5 linked regions of the Rattus norvegicus genome follow. The protein of the gene in region 5 purifies or fractionates together with the protein of the main gene of each other region. This does not show direct contact. Links are inferred from orthologs where the notes say so. Each region holds a gene or a part of one and is shown on either strand. Other genes may lie near its edges. The genes, in order: Lamp1, Ctsd, Lamp2, Acp2 and Tmem192.

The links.
Region 1: the proteins of Tmem192 (region 5) and Lamp1 purify together in Homo sapiens (affinity purification with mass spectrometry; 3 studies listed by BioGRID and IntAct, with this or other methods). This does not show direct contact. The link is inferred for Rattus norvegicus from reciprocal best matches to the Homo sapiens genes TMEM192 and LAMP1.
Region 2: the proteins of Tmem192 (region 5) and Ctsd purify together in Homo sapiens (affinity purification with western blotting; 3 studies listed by BioGRID, with this or other methods). This does not show direct contact. The link is inferred for Rattus norvegicus from reciprocal best matches to the Homo sapiens genes TMEM192 and CTSD.
Region 3: the proteins of Tmem192 (region 5) and Lamp2 purify together in Homo sapiens (affinity purification with western blotting; 5 studies listed by BioGRID and IntAct, with this or other methods). This does not show direct contact. The link is inferred for Rattus norvegicus from reciprocal best matches to the Homo sapiens genes TMEM192 and LAMP2.
Region 4: the proteins of Tmem192 (region 5) and Acp2 purify together in Homo sapiens (affinity purification with mass spectrometry; 3 studies listed by BioGRID and IntAct, with this or other methods). This does not show direct contact. The link is inferred for Rattus norvegicus from reciprocal best matches to the Homo sapiens genes TMEM192 and ACP2.

Annotation. Positions count from the first base shown.
Region 1 is NC_086034.1:83,072,260-83,076,255, reverse strand, and holds the start of Lamp1 (lysosome-associated membrane glycoprotein 1 precursor), read left to right. Parts: upstream 1-1,192; 5' UTR 1,193-1,295; coding exon 1,296-1,341; intron 1,342-1,347; exon of another isoform or gene 1,348-3,940; intron 3,941-3,996. UniProt on the Homo sapiens protein: Lysosomal membrane glycoprotein which plays an important role in lysosome biogenesis, lysosomal pH regulation, autophagy and cholesterol homeostasis.
Region 2 is NC_086019.1:206,958,809-206,962,324, reverse strand, and holds part of Ctsd (cathepsin D precursor), read left to right. Parts: intron 1-212; coding exon 213-430; intron 431-3,516. UniProt on the Homo sapiens protein: Acid protease active in intracellular protein breakdown. Plays a role in APP processing following cleavage and activation by ADAM30 which leads to APP degradation.
Region 3 is NC_086039.1:122,063,667-122,067,182, forward strand, and holds part of Lamp2 (lysosome-associated membrane glycoprotein 2 precursor), read right to left. Parts: intron 3,148-3,516; coding exon 2,989-3,147; intron 1,700-2,988; coding exon 1,500-1,699; intron 700-1,499; coding exon 577-699; intron 1-576. UniProt on the Homo sapiens protein: Lysosomal membrane glycoprotein which plays an important role in lysosome biogenesis, lysosomal pH regulation and autophagy.
Region 4 is NC_086021.1:97,638,127-97,641,355, forward strand, and holds the end of Acp2 (lysosomal acid phosphatase isoform 1 precursor), read left to right. Parts: intron 1-1,858; coding exon 1,859-1,992; coding exon of another isoform or gene 1,993-2,025; 3' UTR 2,026-2,725; downstream 2,726-3,229. Other genes in the region: Ddb2 (DNA damage-binding protein 2), read right to left, coding at 3,167-3,229.
Region 5 is NC_086034.1:29,524,685-29,528,732, reverse strand, and holds the start of Tmem192 (transmembrane protein 192), read left to right. Parts: upstream 1-1,248; 5' UTR 1,249-1,309; coding exon 1,310-1,336; intron 1,337-4,048.

The sequences.
Region 1 (3,996 bases), about 54 Mb from region 5:
AGAATGACCGCCCAGAGTCTGGCCCATACAAGTTCCAACTCAACCTGGGTCTTAGGATGACACCATGACCCAAAACAACAAACATTTTGAGTGTTACATTCACAAAAGAGGGAGATATTTTAGTATTGAATTCTTCATGGAAATACTCATGCCCATCAACATGATCTTCGACCATCAGGAATGCTCAAAAAACACTGCGCCCACACATGAAATCCAAGCACTCAGGAAGGAGAAGCAGGCAGATCTGAACTTGAGGCCAGTTAGGGATAGATACTGAAATCCTATCTTTCTTTTTAGAAACTATTTACTTCTCTAGAATTATTTTATGTATGAGTACACTACAGCTGTCTTCAGACACAACGGAAGAGGGCCTCAGATCCCATTACAGATGGTGTGAGCCACTATGTGGTTGCTGGGAATTGAACTCAGGACCTCTGAAAGAGCAGTCAGTGCTCTTAACCTCTGAGCCATCTCTCCAGCCCGAAATCCCATTTGGCGCCCTCTTCCGGTGTGTCTGAAGACAGCGACAGTGTACTCATATACATAAATCTTTTTTAAAAAGTGTCTTTCCCACATTCCCACCGTCTACATATCCTACAGGACTGTCCTCTGCCTGGACCACCGATTGGGACATGGATATACTTGGGGTTGGCCCTAGACACTAGTCTGGGCCTAGAGATCGCCTGCGAGCCTGAAAGTAGAGGCTAGCCTGGGACTAGGGCACGGATCTAGATGTGAATACCCACCTGGAAACATATGCACACTGTCCTTATATGTAAACACTGACCATGTATTGACCTAGACATAGATGCCAGCCTACGTCTGGGCTGCAGGCCTTCAGGGGCTTGGACCTGAACAGTGCCATGCAGCTGGCCTATGGGGCCCGGTCCAGCTTTCACAGCTTCCTGTTTCCATCCTCACTTTCTCCCGCAGTGATTCTTCCCTTTCTCAAAGCCACAACCTACTTTCCATTTCAGAACACTCGGGAAAAGGACGGATGGCTAAGCATCACGTGGCCTGGAGACCACGTGACGCCGATCGGCACGTGACACCATCACGAGCCAAGTGGAGACTCCAGGAGAAGAGAGTAAGCGGCAGGCCGGCGGGCTCTCGCGAGACCCTCGGCTCACGTGACCGGCGGGCGCGGCACTGTTCACGTGACAGGCGCTGCCGGCCGCAGGGTCTTCTCGGTGCCGGCGCCGCAGCTGCCGGGCCTCTCGAGTCGGTGGACGCGCCCTCCCGCCGGCCTCGCCGCCCGCGCAACCGCCGTCCTTCGGCCTCGGCTGCGTCGCGCCATGGCGGCCCCGGGCGCCCGGCGGCCGCTGCTCCTGTTGCTGCTGGGTGAGCCCAGGAGGGAGGGAGAGCCGGGCGGGGTCGGCGTCTCGGGACCGACGGGAACGGGGCGCCAGGCCGGGCGGGAACGGGGGTGCCCGGGCCGCAGGCGTCGAGTGGGCCTCGAGCCCGCCAGCCCGCTCCGCAGTGGCGCTCGCCGCCTCGGTGCCCGTGCGGGCCCAGCCTGGGACGCTCTGTAGGAGCTGGGATGGACCTCCTGCTAGGCAGTGCTGCTGGCTTTGAGCTACCTTGTGAGAGGAATGGGTGCTGCCCCGACCCTGCCTGGGGTGCCCTTCCTCGCCGCTGTATCCCAGCAACGCAGAGTTTGGCTGCAGTGCCAGCATCTGCAGGACAGGAGAGGGGTGGTTGGCCAGATCACCTGAGCGCACAGGTTCACGATTTCCCGAGCACCTGTCAGGACCCATCGGACCCCAAAATCCTGTGACTGACTTTATGGAATTTGTTTTCCCTCTTTATTTTGCTGTTTGTATGAAACGAACTCTTTAGTCTCTGTGAGAAAGAGAGAGGTGCGCTTACTCGGCGGTTTCAAACCTGAAGCCTTGCTGAGGGACCTGTGACCCTTCACGGTTCAGTAGTTGTAAACGCGAGTACCCGAGTTGCTGAAACAAGTTCTGTCGTGTCAGAATGGCGTAATTAGGAGAGTTCACAGGGCTTGGTAAATAGCAGGAGTTATCCAACACTGCCAAAAAATTTAAACCCTTATAATGTTTATGCTTTAAAAAAAGTGGGGGGGTGTCAACCATGTAGAACATACTGTCCCCAAACTCACAGGTTCTCGCTGCCTCTGCTTCCTAAATGCTGGTTGGGATAAAGCTGTGGGACATTGGGTTGGGCCTCTTCATGATTTTAAAACTCCCCTCTGGCTGGCATAGTGGTTTACACCTTTAACCCAACGCTAGAGAGGCAGGGGGATCTCTTCAACATGCCATTCTGGTCTACATAATGAGTTCTAAGACAGCCGGGACTGGAGACCCTGTTGCAAAAATAAAATAAATAAACAAAGAATGAATGAGTAAAACTAATCAATGGTGGCTCACACTTGTTAGACCTTGGGGGCTGGGGCAGGGAGATTTTAAGTTTGGGTCAGCCTGAGTTAGGTAATGAAATCCTTCTGTAAAAAAAAAAAAAAGAAAAGAAAAGGAAAGGAAAGTGGACGGTGGCTTATGCTTGTAATCCAAGCACTTAGCAGGCTGATGTGGGAGAATTTCTGTGAATTGGAGGCTAACCTGGGCTACAGAGTGAGACACTGTTTCAAACAAAATCAAAGTGGAGAGGATAGATCTGTGGCCCTCATTGAGTGCTGTATGCCATAAATTACGTCCCAGCTTTCACGAAGGTTCTTTAACAACTTTGACGGAGATCTGAGATGTGTGACTTCAAAAATAATTTTATCTTTAACCAGTTCTATAACTCTGGAATTGTTAATTGTTCCTAGGTAAAGCTCCTCCGAGCTGCTTAAGTGCTTAATAGAAAACAGCCTTGTGTGAACTGAAACTAGTAAGCGTGCTTGCTTAGTGGGGTGGAGTTGTTGGTGCTGACCCCCCGACCTTCCCCTTTCTGGATGAGCCCTGTACAGCAGTCTAGAAGAATGAGAGGTCTAATTAGTGTTATCCTGGATTGTGGGACCTTGAATTCTTCATTAGATTTTTAGTCAAGCTGTTCAGTGGCCTTGTAATTTTGAATTTATGTTCTCTTAGACACAATTCAGACATTGTCATATTGACCTGCCCCTTCCCCCTTTTTAAGATTTACTTGTTTATGTATATGAGAACACCATGACTGTCTTAAGACACATTTCTGGACATTGGATCCCATTACAGATGGTTGTGAGCCACCATGTGGTTGTTGAGGATTGAACTCAGGACCTCTGGAAGAGCAGTCAGTGTTCCTAACCTCTGAGCCATCTCTGCAGCCCAACCTGACCTTTTAATTGGACACACAGACTGTGGCCCCTGCACTGGGAATAGCCTGTCTCCTTTGCTCTGTTAAGAGCCCCAGTCCTGACACATGAGATTGTGTGGTGCTTTCATGAAGTGGCAGGTTTGCAGAGTAGTCCTGAACTGAATCTAGAGGAAGGAACTCTTGACACTTTCTCCCACAACACTCTGTTAGCTTGCCCTAACCCATGGAAGTTAGCCAGCAGGAAGGGAGCCATCCCTCTAGAGGTGGTAGCTAGTGCAGTGTGTGGAGTAGAACTTTGGCCATTTGTTTAAATGTTCAGAGGTGATTATCACTAGACAGGAAACTGAATTCAGGGTGTGGTTGGCTGGAGACAGGGTCTCACTGTGTAAGTGATCCAGGCTGGCTTACCCAGCCAGTCCTTCACCCCGCTGGAGAAGCAGTGTGGTCAATAGGCCACACACTGAAGCAAACAAACTGGGCCACTCACTTCTGATGCCCTAAAGCAAGCTACTATCTCTGGGCCTTTCTACCTCAGCAGGAGGGAGTCATGGTGACAGCCTTTTCAGGTTGCCATAGTAATTTAACTGAAAAGTACTTTAAGCAGTACTTGTCACAAAGTGAAAGTGTCACAAGTACTTGTTAAGCAGGGCTTGCTGGGCAAAGAAGAAAGCCCCCAACAAAAGTGGTTAAGTAGCAGGAGTTTTTGGTGGGATGGTGAGAACTGAGGTGTTCTGACAGCCA
Region 2 (3,516 bases), on a different chromosome or scaffold from region 5:
AAAGGCATAGGCAAGGTGAGAGCTGAGGCAGAAGCACCTCCCTCCTGCTTCTCGTGCCTGGTTAACACGAAGTCCTCATAAGTCCCTCAGAGAGGAACCCTGTGTCCTTGTCTTCAGCTGTGTGGCTATGTCAAGCACTTCTGTACGAGTTCTGCTTTTTTGACTGTCCTGAGGGAGAATGTCAGCTGTGACGTATCTGCTCTGGCTTTCAGGTTCCATGTAAGTCAGACTTAGGAGGTATCAAGGTGGAGAAACAGATCTTTGGGGAAGCCACCAAGCAGCCTGGAGTCGTATTCATCGCAGCCAAGTTTGATGGCATCTTGGGCATGGGCTACCCTTTTATCTCTGTTAACAATGTGCTCCCGGTCTTCGACAACCTGATGAAACAGAAGCTGGTGGAAAAGAACATCTTCTCCTTCTACCTGAACAGGTGCAGTAGGAGAGGCGTGGCTCTCATCCTCCCTGGAGCTCAGCTCCAGGGTGAAAGATACAGCTGGGACTTGAGAGCCTGTGCTGAAGGCTTGGCCATGGCATCAGACCTAAGGGGATCGGGTAGGCAGGAGTTAGTTACTGTTACCTGCTTGGGAGAGAAAGCCATGTGCCAGGGACTTTAGCCAGGAGATGCTGGTTGCCTGGATCAGAGTCTCAGCTGCTGGGTCAGGACCCAGGCACTGGTAAGAGCAGATGTAGTCTCTGCTTGGGCTGCTAGTCGCTAGGAGAGACATGGGTATGAGCTTTGATCTGTGACACTCCTCTGGGGACAGGGTCCGGGAACCTTTCCTAGGGCAGAATCAGAAGTCACTGGGGAGGTCTGAGAGCCCTGGGTTATACATTGAGAGTGGCCTTGGGGGAGGGAGTTGTCTCTCCCTGAGAGATTGGGGACCTTTCTGTTAGCAGAGATCCTACACACACGCACACGGACATGTACACACCCACCCCCTTGCAGGGAGCTTCCAGCCTTCCAGTCTCCTGCCTCCTGCAAGCCTGTCCAACAGTCTTGTTCAGGAACTTCACAAGATGGGCAGCTGGGTATATGGGGCTCCTCTCTTGCTAGGTTTAGCTCCTGGGTGTGGGTGGGGTGTAAGTAGGTAGCCTCCTTCCTACTCCAAGTTGCGCTGCCGACCACACCCTCCTTCTCTGGGCTGACTTACTTGCATGTCTAGCAAGGGTAACCTCCATACTCTATTTGTAGGTCTGAACCCTAACCCTTATTGATGGGCACTGGCCCCGTGCCAGCCCAGAATCTTCTAGTTTTACTTTTCCCTGTCTATTTCTGTCCCTTGTTTAAATGGTGACTACCCAGTTCACTCTGGGCACAGTGGCTTCCCTAGAGGCAGGGGCATGGATCAGTGGACAGGGTCATTGACTTCTGGGCTCTGCTTCCTAGAGTAGGTGGGTGCCCCAAAGTTAGACAGGCTGGGCATAGCAGCACATGCTTTTAATCCCAACACTCAAGAGGCAGAAGCAGGAGGATCTCTGTGAGTTCAAGGACAGCCAGAGAACTACATCAAGAGACACTGTCTCAGAAAACAAAAACAAGTTGGCCAAGTCGAAGCCTGGAGACGTCTGTCTTATCTCAGTCCCATGGTGCCTTAGGGGCCCACAAATACCACTTGGCCTATAAGTCTTAAGTCTCTGTTCTAGGATCTCAATATACCCATCTTCCCTTGCTGGTGCCTGTCTTTTAGGAGGAGCCCTCCCAGGCTCAGCAACTAGGAATGGATGTGGTAGCTACAGCCTGGGCCCCAGGGTACTTACTGTGCCAGCTGGGTTTCAGGCTGGTGACCCAGAGGTGTGGCTACTGAGTAGGCGGGTGTAAAACCAGCAGAGTGATCAGGCAGTGTGGGTGGAACGTCGGCGAGAAGAGGAGAGGCAGGGCCGGTATCCATCGTGTTTCCACCTAGGATTTCAGAGGCAATGACAAGCCAAAGCCAGGCCAGGGTGGAGACTTGGGTAGGAGAACAGGGTGAGGCTTGGGGATCCACGGGCCAGGAGGAAGATGTGGAACCTGATTAGGAAGGCCTGGCAGGATGGCAACTTCCCTTTAACTTTGGGTAATTGTGCCCCAGAGTGATGCCTAGCCGGGTGACATTCATGTTCCCCGGACCCCCGAGGTTGGAGGGGACAAGCTTATACTTACTTGCTGACTGCCTGAGAGCACTCAGTGTTGTGGCTGTAGACTGCGCTCCCTGTGTTCTGTTTGAGGGTATGGTGGGCATTCCCATGAGACTAGAGGTGGGGGGAGTTGAGAGAAGGGTTTGGAGGAGAAAGAGTGATAGCAAGTGCTACATCCATGGCTGAAGCCTGCTCAGCCTCTCAGGACCATGGCCCTGGCTTCCTCTTAGAAGCCCGCCTTGAATTTTGCCAGGCAGAGAAGGCATCCCTGTTCTTCAGCTCCAGCCTGACTGAGCCTTGGCCTTGGCTACCAGTGACTGACCCTGAACACCTGCAGCCAGCATCCTGCAGAGAAGGGCCAGCTGTACCCAGCAGCTTATGTGGGACTGGGCTGGAAGCCCCTCCCTGGGGTGACAGGCTCCACTTTCCTCTTCTCTGTGAGTCTTCCTATACCTGTAGGATCAAGGTTGCTCAGCAGGGCAGCAGATGCAGAAACGGGAACTTAGCTTAGGATCTGAGCCCTAGGCTGGCTGAGCCCTAGGCTTATCTCTGGCCAGGCAGGGCAACATGAATGTGTCATGTCAGAAACATAAATGGGCATGTTTCTGTCTTTCAGCAGTGTTAGAATTTATTGAGTAACTCTAAATTCACATGCTAAATAAATGCATTTACTCCAATTTGCCAAGTAACCCCAAATTTACTTGGTAGCCAACCGTTGGTATCATGGATTTCTTTATTCTGATTTTTTTTTTAATGTGTGTCTGTGTGGGGGTATATTCGTGTGTGTGCAGTTGCCAGTGGAGGCCAGGAAGAGGGTGATGGATTCCCAGGAGCTGGGAAGTGAACTCAGTCCTCTGTAAGAGCAGCAAGCTCTCTTAGCCACTGAGCCGTCTCTCCAGCCAGTTATATTCAGATCTTAATTAAAAACACCAGCAGGTCACATGTTACCACCCTTCACACAATATTGCCTGTATATAGGGTCAGGTTCCAGACTAGCTAAGAAAGGGCTGCAGGGCCCAGGGAGGGTGTATAGAAATCAGAAGTAGAAAGCTGAAACAAACACAGGAAGAATAGGGAACCACAGAAGAAGTCAGTCACAGACACAGAAATGTCAGTCGCAGGTTTTGGTGACAGGGTCACTTTGGAAGTGCACTGAGTTCAAAGGCAGGAGAATCTGTTTGAGCCTACAGCCTGGGGACAGAACCAAGGGTTCTTTGCCAAGGAAAGAATTCCTGGATCAGGCTCATCAGTAGGCTTGCTGCGTTTCAGCCTTAGGTTGTCCCTTGGTAATCCCAGGTGAGGGGTTGTCACATCTGGTGTGACTGATAAGCTGGAGTTCACATAAGCTAGGATCCGATAGTCTCGGTTGTGGTTTATCAGTTCGTTTCTCCTGGTGTGCTG
Region 3 (3,516 bases), on a different chromosome or scaffold from region 5:
ACAGCTAACAATGCTTATTTAATGCTAGCTATTACTAGTACAGACACTACTATAAAGAATGTTAATGGGGCTAAAGAGATGACTTAGCAATTGGGAGCACTGGTGGCTCTTCAAGGACCCAGGTTCAATTCCCCACACCCACATGGCAGCTCACAGCTCTCTGTGATTCCATGGCATGTGGCACCTTCACTCACAAATACATATAGGCAAAACACCAATGTACATAATAAATGTATCTTTATAAGAAGAATATAACTATAAAATATGTAAAATTTTGTGTTAGCATGAGAATTGTCTAATAAGAGAAAATAGTATAAAAACTATACTTAGTTTTCTTTTTATGTGAGTTCATTCGTGTTTCTACACTGAAGTACATATAATAGTACAATAGCCACTTTCTATAATTATTAATACAAGAGCCCAGCCCATAGATAGTCCAGCTGACTCAGAGATGAGCAGGGATAAGTAAACCGAATATCACCCCGCCCCCACCCTGGCATACACCTACCACTCTGGAGACTTGCAGGGGCACTTCTCAGAGAAAGAACTTAGCTTTAGCAAACAGTCAGTACTCACCACAGCAAAGATAAAGTCGAGATACTTAATTTGGCTGTTGTTCAGCCTAAGTTGAGCTGTTTGGGGCTGACAGCTGCCGGTGAAGTTGGTTATGGCAGGGTTGATGTTAAAAATGAAAGGCACCTTCAGGAGAATAAAGAAGGAAGGTGCAGATTAACTGTAAAAGTCAACACCAAAGCCCATTACACTGATAAAACCAAAGTACAGCACAACCTCTTTTAATGTAGACTGCTTGTTGTCTTTTAATGTAGAATGCTTGTTGTCTTACTTTCAAGAAAACTTGACACAAGCCTTCAAGCTATGACTCAGCCGACTTCAACAACAACAATAAGAAGAGGGAAGTTTCCTCAGTAATGAGCCAAAATGAAAACACATTTTTTTTTTTTTTTTTAGAGCACAAGAACCATCTGTCTGGCTTGTTTCAATCATAGAAAAATGGGATTTGTTCACTGGCGCGCCCTCTGCTGTCCGAATGAGGTATTGCAACTCGACAAGTACTTGGGCCTAACTCCTCTGTCTGACTCATCAAATAGCCTTGCACCAACCTACAGTGTGGTTCAAACAAGAGGCTGAATAGGCTACAGTTTGATTTTTCACTTTTGGCAGTGTTGGAATGGTACCCAAACCTTGTGCATGGGATGCAAGTGCTCTACCCCTGAACTTTACTCCATCTCTAACTTAACTACATATGCTGAGCCTCTACTGAAGGCTTATAAAATCTAAGCTTGTAAAGAAGTCTTTAAATAAATTGGCAGGTTCTCTGCTGGCCAAGATGCCTTGATGGTGATATTAACTATTCACGGATATCGTCTTTCCAAACTATTCAAAACTCAACACAAACTGTGCATTTAAACTTGAGTCAGTCTAGTTCTTAAGTGCATGGTACGCTATACATTACAAAAAAAGGTTTCACTAAACCCTACCTTCTCCTCGGTGATGTTCAGCTGCAGCCCCATGGTAGCCAGCAGACAGGTAGCATTGCCATTAGAAATGGTGTAGTTTCCAACCGTTGGAGTTGGAACGGGTATTGAAGTTGGAGTGAGTGTCGTAGTAGGCGATGGCACGGTGGTGTGAATGATGGGTGCTACAGTGGTAGCAGTTTTGTCCTCCTTACACACTTGTTCTAAAACAAAGGACAAAATAAGCTAGGGTGATCTTGCTTTACTGGGCCAGGGAAGAGAACAAACTACTTCTCCAAGTCAGGTTCTCACAGTCCAAGAGGGTTAATTAGGGCAAAAGAAGACCTTGGTGGTATATTTTTAAAGTGGATGAAGCAGAGGTTCCTAAAGTACTGTTTAATAGACAGATAATTTCTTATGAGTTATAACCAGAGTAAACAAACTCAAAACATATCAAAAGTTATAGCTACTCAAGTAAAGCCACATACTCTTCTTTCTTGCACTCGCAAAGGTCTTTATTTCAAAGAATTTCACCTGTCTCTGATCTGATGAGAAATTCAGAGCCAAGTCTAAAAACAACGCCCCCCTCCTCCAAGCTAAAAAGTCTTTTTCCTTCAAACACAACAACCACTGTGAAGAAGTGCTTACTAAAACTAGCTTGGAAATCGTTGAAGGGTTTAAATTCAAAGGAACCTTTTATTTCTATCACTCCTATAGTAGGTTATGGGAATTAAAATTCCTTCTTAGGAAGTATTAGTAGTTTTCTAGTAATGAATGTGAAATTTTACATTTTCATTAAATGGTTCACTGGGGGCCTCTAGTGCATACAATCATTCTCTTAATATCTCTCTCTCTCTCTCTCTCTCTCTCTCTCACACACACACACACACACACACACACACACACACACACACATACTGCATACTACAAACAAAACGTTTCCATGCATCATAAGCTTTCAACTGAAATTATCACTAAAAATGGCTATCACTTTAAGCCTATGCTTTGATCCTAGTTCACATCTTTGATCCCAGGATGCAGAGGCACAGGCAGGTGGATCTCTGACATGTGAGGCCAGCCTGATCTACAGAGCGAGTTCTGGATGGCCAAGACTACATAGAGAAACCCTGTCTTGCGAAAAAGAAAAAGAAAAAGAAAAAAGAAAGAAAGAAGAGAAAAAGAAAAATAACTTTAAAAATATTTAGTCTGCACCTTAAGAAATGTTCTCAGACGATGATCTCAATGAATGGTACCTGATGTAATCTGCCCTTAAAATAAGAGCCACATATATAAATTTATACTTTACGGTCTCATGGTTTTTGGTCAGGAACTGGGGAAAAATGTGTTTAATGCCAGCACTAGGGAAGCAGAAGCAGGCAGATCTCTGGGAGTTCGAGGCCAGCCTGGTCTACAGAGTTACAGGACAGCCTGGGTTGTTTCATGGAGAAATACTGTCAAAAAAAAAAGAAAGAAACAAACAAACAAACAAACAAACAAACAAAAACAAACTCACCATGTTTACTCACTGTACCATTTTGGACAAAAGCTTGCAGGTGAATGCCCCAATAGTGCTGAACAACAGGACTCAGGTTGAAAGTTAAAACACTACTGCACTTAAAGATGACACCCAATGGAAGCTGGGATCCCACAGGAATGATAACAGTAAGGATTCCTATGAAACAAGGTGAACAATGGCATTTCCAGGAAGACATGAGAAACTGCTAATATATTTACATTAACATAAATACAGCCTTTCTTTCCTTCTAGGCCTTGCCATGCCAAAAGTAATAAACTGTGGAGCATTGACAGGAATGACAAATTCACTGTGACTGGAACTGTAGGCATAGGGAAGACAAAACATGAGGGTTACAAAAAAAATCAGAAAGCAGTGACTGGACGGATAACTTCGTGGTATAGCACGCCGGCAGCTATACCAGAATAAGCACATTCAGTTCTTGGCACCCATTTAGTGGCCAAAAATCCCTGTAACTCCAGTCTCATGGGGATGTCACACCTCTCTGGCTTCTGTGGACAGTAGGCA
Region 4 (3,229 bases), on a different chromosome or scaffold from region 5:
TTAAACAATTTTGTATCACCTTTTGCTGCAATGAAGCTGTTATCAAGATCATCAATTCTTAGTCAGCTTCTCTCACCTCAGCAGCCCAGTTGCCATTTCTTCCTTAAACACATTTTTTTTAGTGTTGTGGACATAGCCCAGTGGTAGAATCCATGGCTAGCATGTGTGAAGCCCTAGATTCCCTCCCCGACCACCGCACTGCAACAGTAACAACCGTTTTCATGACTTCAGTTTTTTACTTACTACAAATTCCTTACCGTTTTCCCTCTTCTCTAAATAATGAATGGCCTGAGGCTTATCCCTATCCCCTTTCCTATCTGTCCTGACTCCCAAGGGATCTCATCAACCTCATGGCTTTCCTACCTCATCTTCATGGTAAGTTAAGTTCCACTTTTGTAATATGACTTTGATTTATAACTTCTTTTTTTTTTTTTTTTTGGTTCTTTATTTTCGGAGCTGGGGACCGAACCCAGGGCCTTGTGCTTCCTAGGCAAGCGCTCTACCACTGAGCTAAATCCCCAACCCCGATTTATAACTTCTGAGCTAGGCTTTCCCCCAGCTACTGACTTGAAACCTCTCTACATGGATGTCACATGAGGCATTGTGTCTGAACCAGCATCTCTTCTCAGATCTACTTGTTCATTTTACAGCTGTCAATTTAAAGATTTAGTTCACCTATGAGTGCACTGTTGCTGTCCTCAGACACCCCAGAAGAGGGCATCAGATCCCATTACAGATGGTTGTGAGCCTCTATGTGGTTGCTGGGGATTGAACTCAGGACCTCTGGAAGAGCAGCCAGTGCTCTTAACCGCTGAGCCATCTCTCCAGCCCACAGCTGTCAACTTAATAGATGCTGCATTAGTCTCACGGTCACACAGTGTACCATTAGGCATTCTCTTCCTCATAGCCCACACCCAGTCCACCGGCAGATTCTATGCTTCTCAGATGCTGAGCTCTCGCCTCTCCAGTCATTAGCAGTTCTTGCCTGAGCCGCTCACAAGCCTAACGTTCATTCTGGTTCCATTCTTGTCCCTACCAGTCTCCAGACAGCAAAGTTAATTTCTTTAGAAATATAACTTGAGGCTAGGTGTATAACCCAGTTGATAGGGTACTCACTCTACCAACCAAACTATGGGAAAAACCGCTTAGTTTAACTCCTGGCACTGCATGAACTGGGTGTGGTAGTGTACACCTCTAATTCCAGCACTCAGAAGGGGGAAGGAGGATAGGTCAAGGTCATCCTCTACTATATAGTCAATTTTGAGACAGCCTGGGCTATATGAGACCATGTTTTTTTTAAATGTGCATATATATTAATCACACACAAAGACCCAGGTTCTCTATCGTGACTGCCCTGCCTCTGCTTGACTTGGATGTCTTCTGGTTCCTAGTGCCCCTTGCTTACTCTGTGATACTCTTGCTGAATCCAGCACACCAAGCCTGTTCTATCAGATGTGTCCTCCTACCCCCACTCCATGACACTCTACTCTCATCTGTTTTACTTCCTGACCCCCAGGTCTGGTCCTATTTCCTCAGTGATTTCTAATGTATCTTGTCCATAGAGCATCACTGATGTGTCATTCCCGTGAAATGCTTGCTCGTTCTAAGAGCAGACTGCCTCGACCACCTTTCTATTTCCCTGTTTTTTTTTTGTTTTTTTTTTTTTTTTGGTTCTTTTTTTCGGAGCTGGGGACCGAACCCAGGGCCTTGCGCTTCCTAGGTAAGCGCTCTACCACTGAGCTAAATCCCCAGCCCCCTATTTCCCTGTTTTGTCAACACAGTACCTGGCTTGGGGTAGGTGCTCTGTTATTTGTTGGATGAATACTAATGTTACTTTCTTTTCCTCTCCCCTGTCCAGAGGTGATTGTGGCACTGGCTGTCTGTGGCTCCATCCTCTTCCTTCTAATAGTGTTGCTCCTCACTGTCCTCTTCCGGATGCAGGCCCAGCCTCCTGGCTACCACCATGTTGCAGACAGGGAAGACCATGCTTGACAACCACTCAGTCCCCTTCCCTCTGCCTCCTAGGGGATGTGGGCTGAGTCCTTGCTCCTGACTATTGCCGATCCCAGCCCAGGGACAGGTTTAGCCTTCCTGATTACCTACGCCCAAATGAATGAGTGAGGCTGGGCTGGTCGCACGTCACCTGTGACTTACCATCCTCATGCCTGATGTTTACCATGTACTGTGTTGGACACTGGCTTTCTCTAAATGGGATTTGCCTCTTCTATACTCCCTAAGGACTTGAGATACAGACAAGCATTCAGGTTTTACTCAAGACCTGGGATTAAAAAAACAAAACAACAACAGAAAAAAAACCCCAAACCCTGAAGAAGCTGGTACTTGATCTGTCTAGCTCTTCCCCCAAGCCTTGCTCTTTGTCTTCTAGCCCATATCTTTGGCAAATGGCTTGGAGGACATTGTCCCTTGGTACTTTTGCAGTTCATATAAATGGCTCATTTTATATGGATCACCCAACAGCAAAGTTTCCCTCTGACTGAGGCTGCCGTCAGTGTCAACCTCAGGCAGGTTGAAGGACACTGGTGCTGCACCTGGATGACAGTGGGAGGACACAGGAGTGAAACACATGGAATCATGACGTGACTCTCCCTCAGCTGGGCTGGACTCTTCAGGGACTTGAAGTAAATGCAGCTGGTGAACTGTACACCTTGACTGTGGCCCGAAACAGAGCTGAAGTAACTCCGAGGAAATGAAGGTTTTGACTGAGTGCTGGTTCTGTGCCTTTTTTTTTCCTTCCCCATTTCTGACATCCAAGAAGCACTCTTACCAGGTCAGTACTAGGTCTCAATACAAAAGATATGCTTTTATTGGTTATGTCAAAATGAACATAAAAATTTAAAAATTCCCTGGTTATTCTGCTACTATACATCAGAAAAAAGGAAAGTACCTTGGCTCTAGCATGAACTTGGTCTCCAGGCTAGACACAGCAGGGACCCTGAGGGTAGCTGGTTTACTCTTTAATTTTCTGAAGCAAAATCTAGAGCAGTAACATGTCAGTATCCTAGTTCCATACAGTATCCCATGCCACCAGCACCCCTACTCCCACACTGAGAGTTGGGTACTTCTGGCCTGTGAACAAACAGCTACCACTTCTCTCACAGAACCTGCTCCCATAGGCAGGGTCAGGTGTTGCTGTCCCACACCATCTTCATAGTCTTTCATGGTCTTTCAATGACCCATCTTCCTCTGGGCTCCAAATGAGAATATGATA
Region 5 (4,048 bases):
CCTGGCCTTGAACTCATGATCCTTCTGCCTCTTCTAAGTCCTGAGACTACAGGTGTGTGCTACCACACCCAGTTCCCCAGTACGATTCAGTGTGTGTGTGTGTGTGTGTGTGTGTGTGTGTGTGTGTGTGTGTTAAAACTTGGGCTGCAGAGATGCCTCAGTGCTACTTAGATACACTAACCATTCTTCCAAAGGACCTGGGTTTGATTCCCAAAAACAACTGTCAAACTCTAGTGTCAGAGGATCCAATAGCTCCTATGGCCTCCCTGGGCAACAGGCATGCACACAGTGCACAGCCCCCCATGCAAATAAAACACTGAAACACATAAAATAAAAACAATTTTAAAATACTTTGTATGTACAAAACAACTTGTCAGGTGGGTGGTGTGTACTAACAATGCCAGATTTCACTGTGCAAAGGCAAGGGGATCAGGAACTGAAAGTCAGTTTCAGCGCACATCAATTTCTAGGTCAGCGTAAGCTACTTGAGACCTTGTTTTAATTTAAAAAAAAAAAATGAGGACTAACCAATGGCTTTTGCTACCAAGCCCGGGATTCACATAGTGGTGACACAAGCCTTTAATTTGAGCACTCCACTAGAGGAGACAAAGACAGGTGAATCTCTGAGGGTTCAAGGCCATCTTGGTCTACATAGTGAGTTTCAGAACAGCAGAGCTATGTAGAGAAACCCTGTCTCAAAAAGCAAAACTGAAACCAAAAATAATCAAAGGACAGAAAAAGAGATGGGGAAAGAAAAAACAGAAACAGAATACCTAAAAAAACAACAACAACAACAAAAACAACAAGAACAACAAAAGCTACAGGAATTTCCTGTGGAGACAACTGTAAATTTGTTATACAAATTAGAATCTATTCTAGGTCAGTCCCTCTACAGGTGGAATTACAATTTTTACTGCGTCTTTTTCCGAACACAGAGCTATCGCTGCAAACAAAAACTACGCAACAGAAATAAGTTAATGTTTAAAGAGTAGTTGACGAAACATGGTTTAAATGGTTGCTCTAGAAATTCATTTTTTTAATTGCCAAATCTCTGATAAACGGATGAAACAACCGCCTGGGCTAGACCGACACCCAAAGCGGGAGTCTGAAGGGAGGGCCACACTCCTCCTGGCTTCTGATCGGCTGATCTAAGTCGAGGGGCGTGGCCTTAGGGGCGGGGCTGGCGCAGAGTGGGTGTGTCCGGGGCGGGGCGCGCAGGTCCAAGTAGGTGCGACTGTCCCGGGCCCTCGGCGCCGGGGCGCTGGTGGAGAGGTCAGGCTGGCGGGGCATCGGCCCGCGACGGCGGGTCATGGCGGCGGGCGGTAGGCTGGAGGACGTGAGTGAGGCGCCGAGCCCCGTCGCCGCCATCCCGCTTCCTGTGCTGAGCTCAGGGGGCGGAGACAGCGGGCTGGGAGCTACCCAGAGTCGCAGCGGCTCCACCATCGGGGACGCGGGGTGCGGGGTGCGGGGTGACGCGACGGGCGGGGACCGCGGATTCCGGGAGCGTCTTCCTGTGTAATCGGAGGGACACGGCAGGGTTGGCGCGGGGGACCCTTCAGTCGGCGGCTCACGTGCAGTGCGCGTCTTTGGTTCCGGAAATGAGAGCTTCACGTGATGCTCACTACCCTGATCGGTCCTTCCTGGGAAAGACTGACAGGCGGACTTTTACGCCCGGGGTGACCCGGCTTATGTGGGCCCTCCTGCTGCGACTGGAGAGCACTGGGTTCCTGGTGTGACACTGGTGCTTGGGCTAATAGCCTCCCTCGGGCGGACCTGTAGCTCTCATCTCCCGGAAACGCAGATTGGAGCATAAGTGTATCATGTGTTTTGAATGTAGGCATGATAGGAACGGAAAGATGTTTGAATCTTAGATGCATGCCTGCTTGCTTTAAAAAAAAAAGTTCCAGGTGGCCCACTTCGCGGTGTAGCCAGTATAGAATGATAATACAATTGGAAAAATCTTGAGTTTATGAACTCATTAAGACACTGATTAATTTGAAATCAGGTGAGAGGGGGGGTGACACTTTGAGAGGAAATTTGCATTTGTTTCCAGAACAAACTATTTTGTCTATTGGCATAATAAAAGCCCTGCCCTTGAGAAATGCAAGGCTGACATTATGTTAGCACAATGACCTGAGCTAATAACTAATAAAAACATTAGCATGGTCTTACATTAAAAAAAAAAAAGTTCCAGAACTGTAAGAGCTTAGATTCTTGTGTGTTTGGGTCCTGCAATCATTTATTTACTTATTATAGATGTGCTAGGTAGCCCTAGCTGGCCTGGTACTCATTATATAGCCTAACCTGGCCTTAAGTTTGCCTAACTGTTCCCTGACAGCCCATTTTAATGCCTCAATGGTGGGAGTACCTTGCCACCTAGCTAGTTGAATTTTCTCCATGAAATATGTTTCTAACAATGGAACTAATCTAAAGCATAGCGCATTGCTTTTGAAATTTTACGAGTGAGATTTCATGGACTGACAATTTCTGGAAGGAATAAATAAGAGGAAAATGAGTGGTTTAGAAAAAACTCGAGCAGTGTTTCTCGGTGCTAACCTGCCCTGGAGTTCTTGGATCTTTCAGAAGTACAGTCCTGGATATTTCTTTCGGCAAACAATCGGGGATGGGTATTTCACCAACAATGAAGTGGCTGAACCTATGGACCTAGGGAGGTTGCCTGCCTTTGGTATTTTGTAGATAACAAAGTGCACATTTAGTGAGCTGTACATGGGCTATGTTGCAAGCCCAGGTGCTTAAGCGAGTCAGTGAATGAATGGCTCGTTTATAAAGACAAGGACTTGTTGCAGCTTTGAATAAATGAACACCCAGGCCTCTGAAGGACCCAAACAAAGGCAGCTCAAAGGGTCTTAAGTAATAGGAGGCATTTTAGAGTCCTCACTGGGGTGAGTGTATAGCAGGCCTAGCTCGTATATAATGACACTGAGTTTTTAATATTTTAAAGCTTAGGCTTTTCATCGAGGGCTGTCTTCTAGCTACTCTAACCTGACTAATCCTGGCACTACGTCCTGCTGTGGCCAGCTCTACCTCTGCTCAGCTCAGGCGCCTCTGTTTATTCCCTTGTCTGCTGTCTGAATCCCTCACCTCTGATTTCTTCTCCCAGAATCCCTTTCTCCCCTGGAAAAGTCACCCTCCACCCCCTGCCTAACTACTGGCTGTCAGCTCTTTATGACAGCCAACTAGAGACAATTCTAGATCAGAGCAGGAAGAACAAATATTTACAAAAATAGAAACCCAGTAATGGGCCATAGAAATGGGAAGACCAGAATCCTAGCATTTAGCTCTCTGCTGGTACAGAATTAACAATTGAAAACAGAGACACACCTTCACAGTATGTACTCTGACATGAATATGGTGCTGTGACCTTACCCGAGATCTGTCTACAAACCATCTTTTGTTGTATGACAACCCTCAGACCAAGAGAGGCAGAGGGGAAATATTTAAAGATATCCCACATGAATTTTGGTTTTTTACAGGCTCACACTAGGTGACTCAGGCTAGCCTCTGGCTTACGGTAATCCTCCTGAAGCCACTATACCTGGGTCCTAGTAAGACTTAATACACTATAGACATAGGTCCCCAAAGGAAGTAGTTACTGGGGGAAGAAAATGAAGAGGTAGTGTAGGGACCAAAATAATAGCTGAATTCTTTGGTAGTAACTCAGTCATAAGTCATGGAAATGGGTTGGGCGAGCATGGTAGAGTTCTTGCTTGCTTAGCATGCACACATCCCTGAGCTCAGTCCTTAGCACCACAGAAACCAGGCATGGTAGCACACATTTGTAATCCCAGCACTGAGGAAGTAAGGGGAAGGAATCTTAAACTTAAGGTCACCCTTGGTCTTAGGGAGCTGTCGGCCAAAATAAAGGAAATGAAGGAGTAATTTGGGGTTCTGGGGGTGTAGCTCAGTGTTAGAGCATTTGCGTATCACTCATGTGGTCCTAGGTTTGTGGTGGGGAGAGATTTGTAAGAAGACAGAAAAGTTGATCGATAAGTTGATTGAAAATGATTCAAGCCAGGCAGTGGTGGCT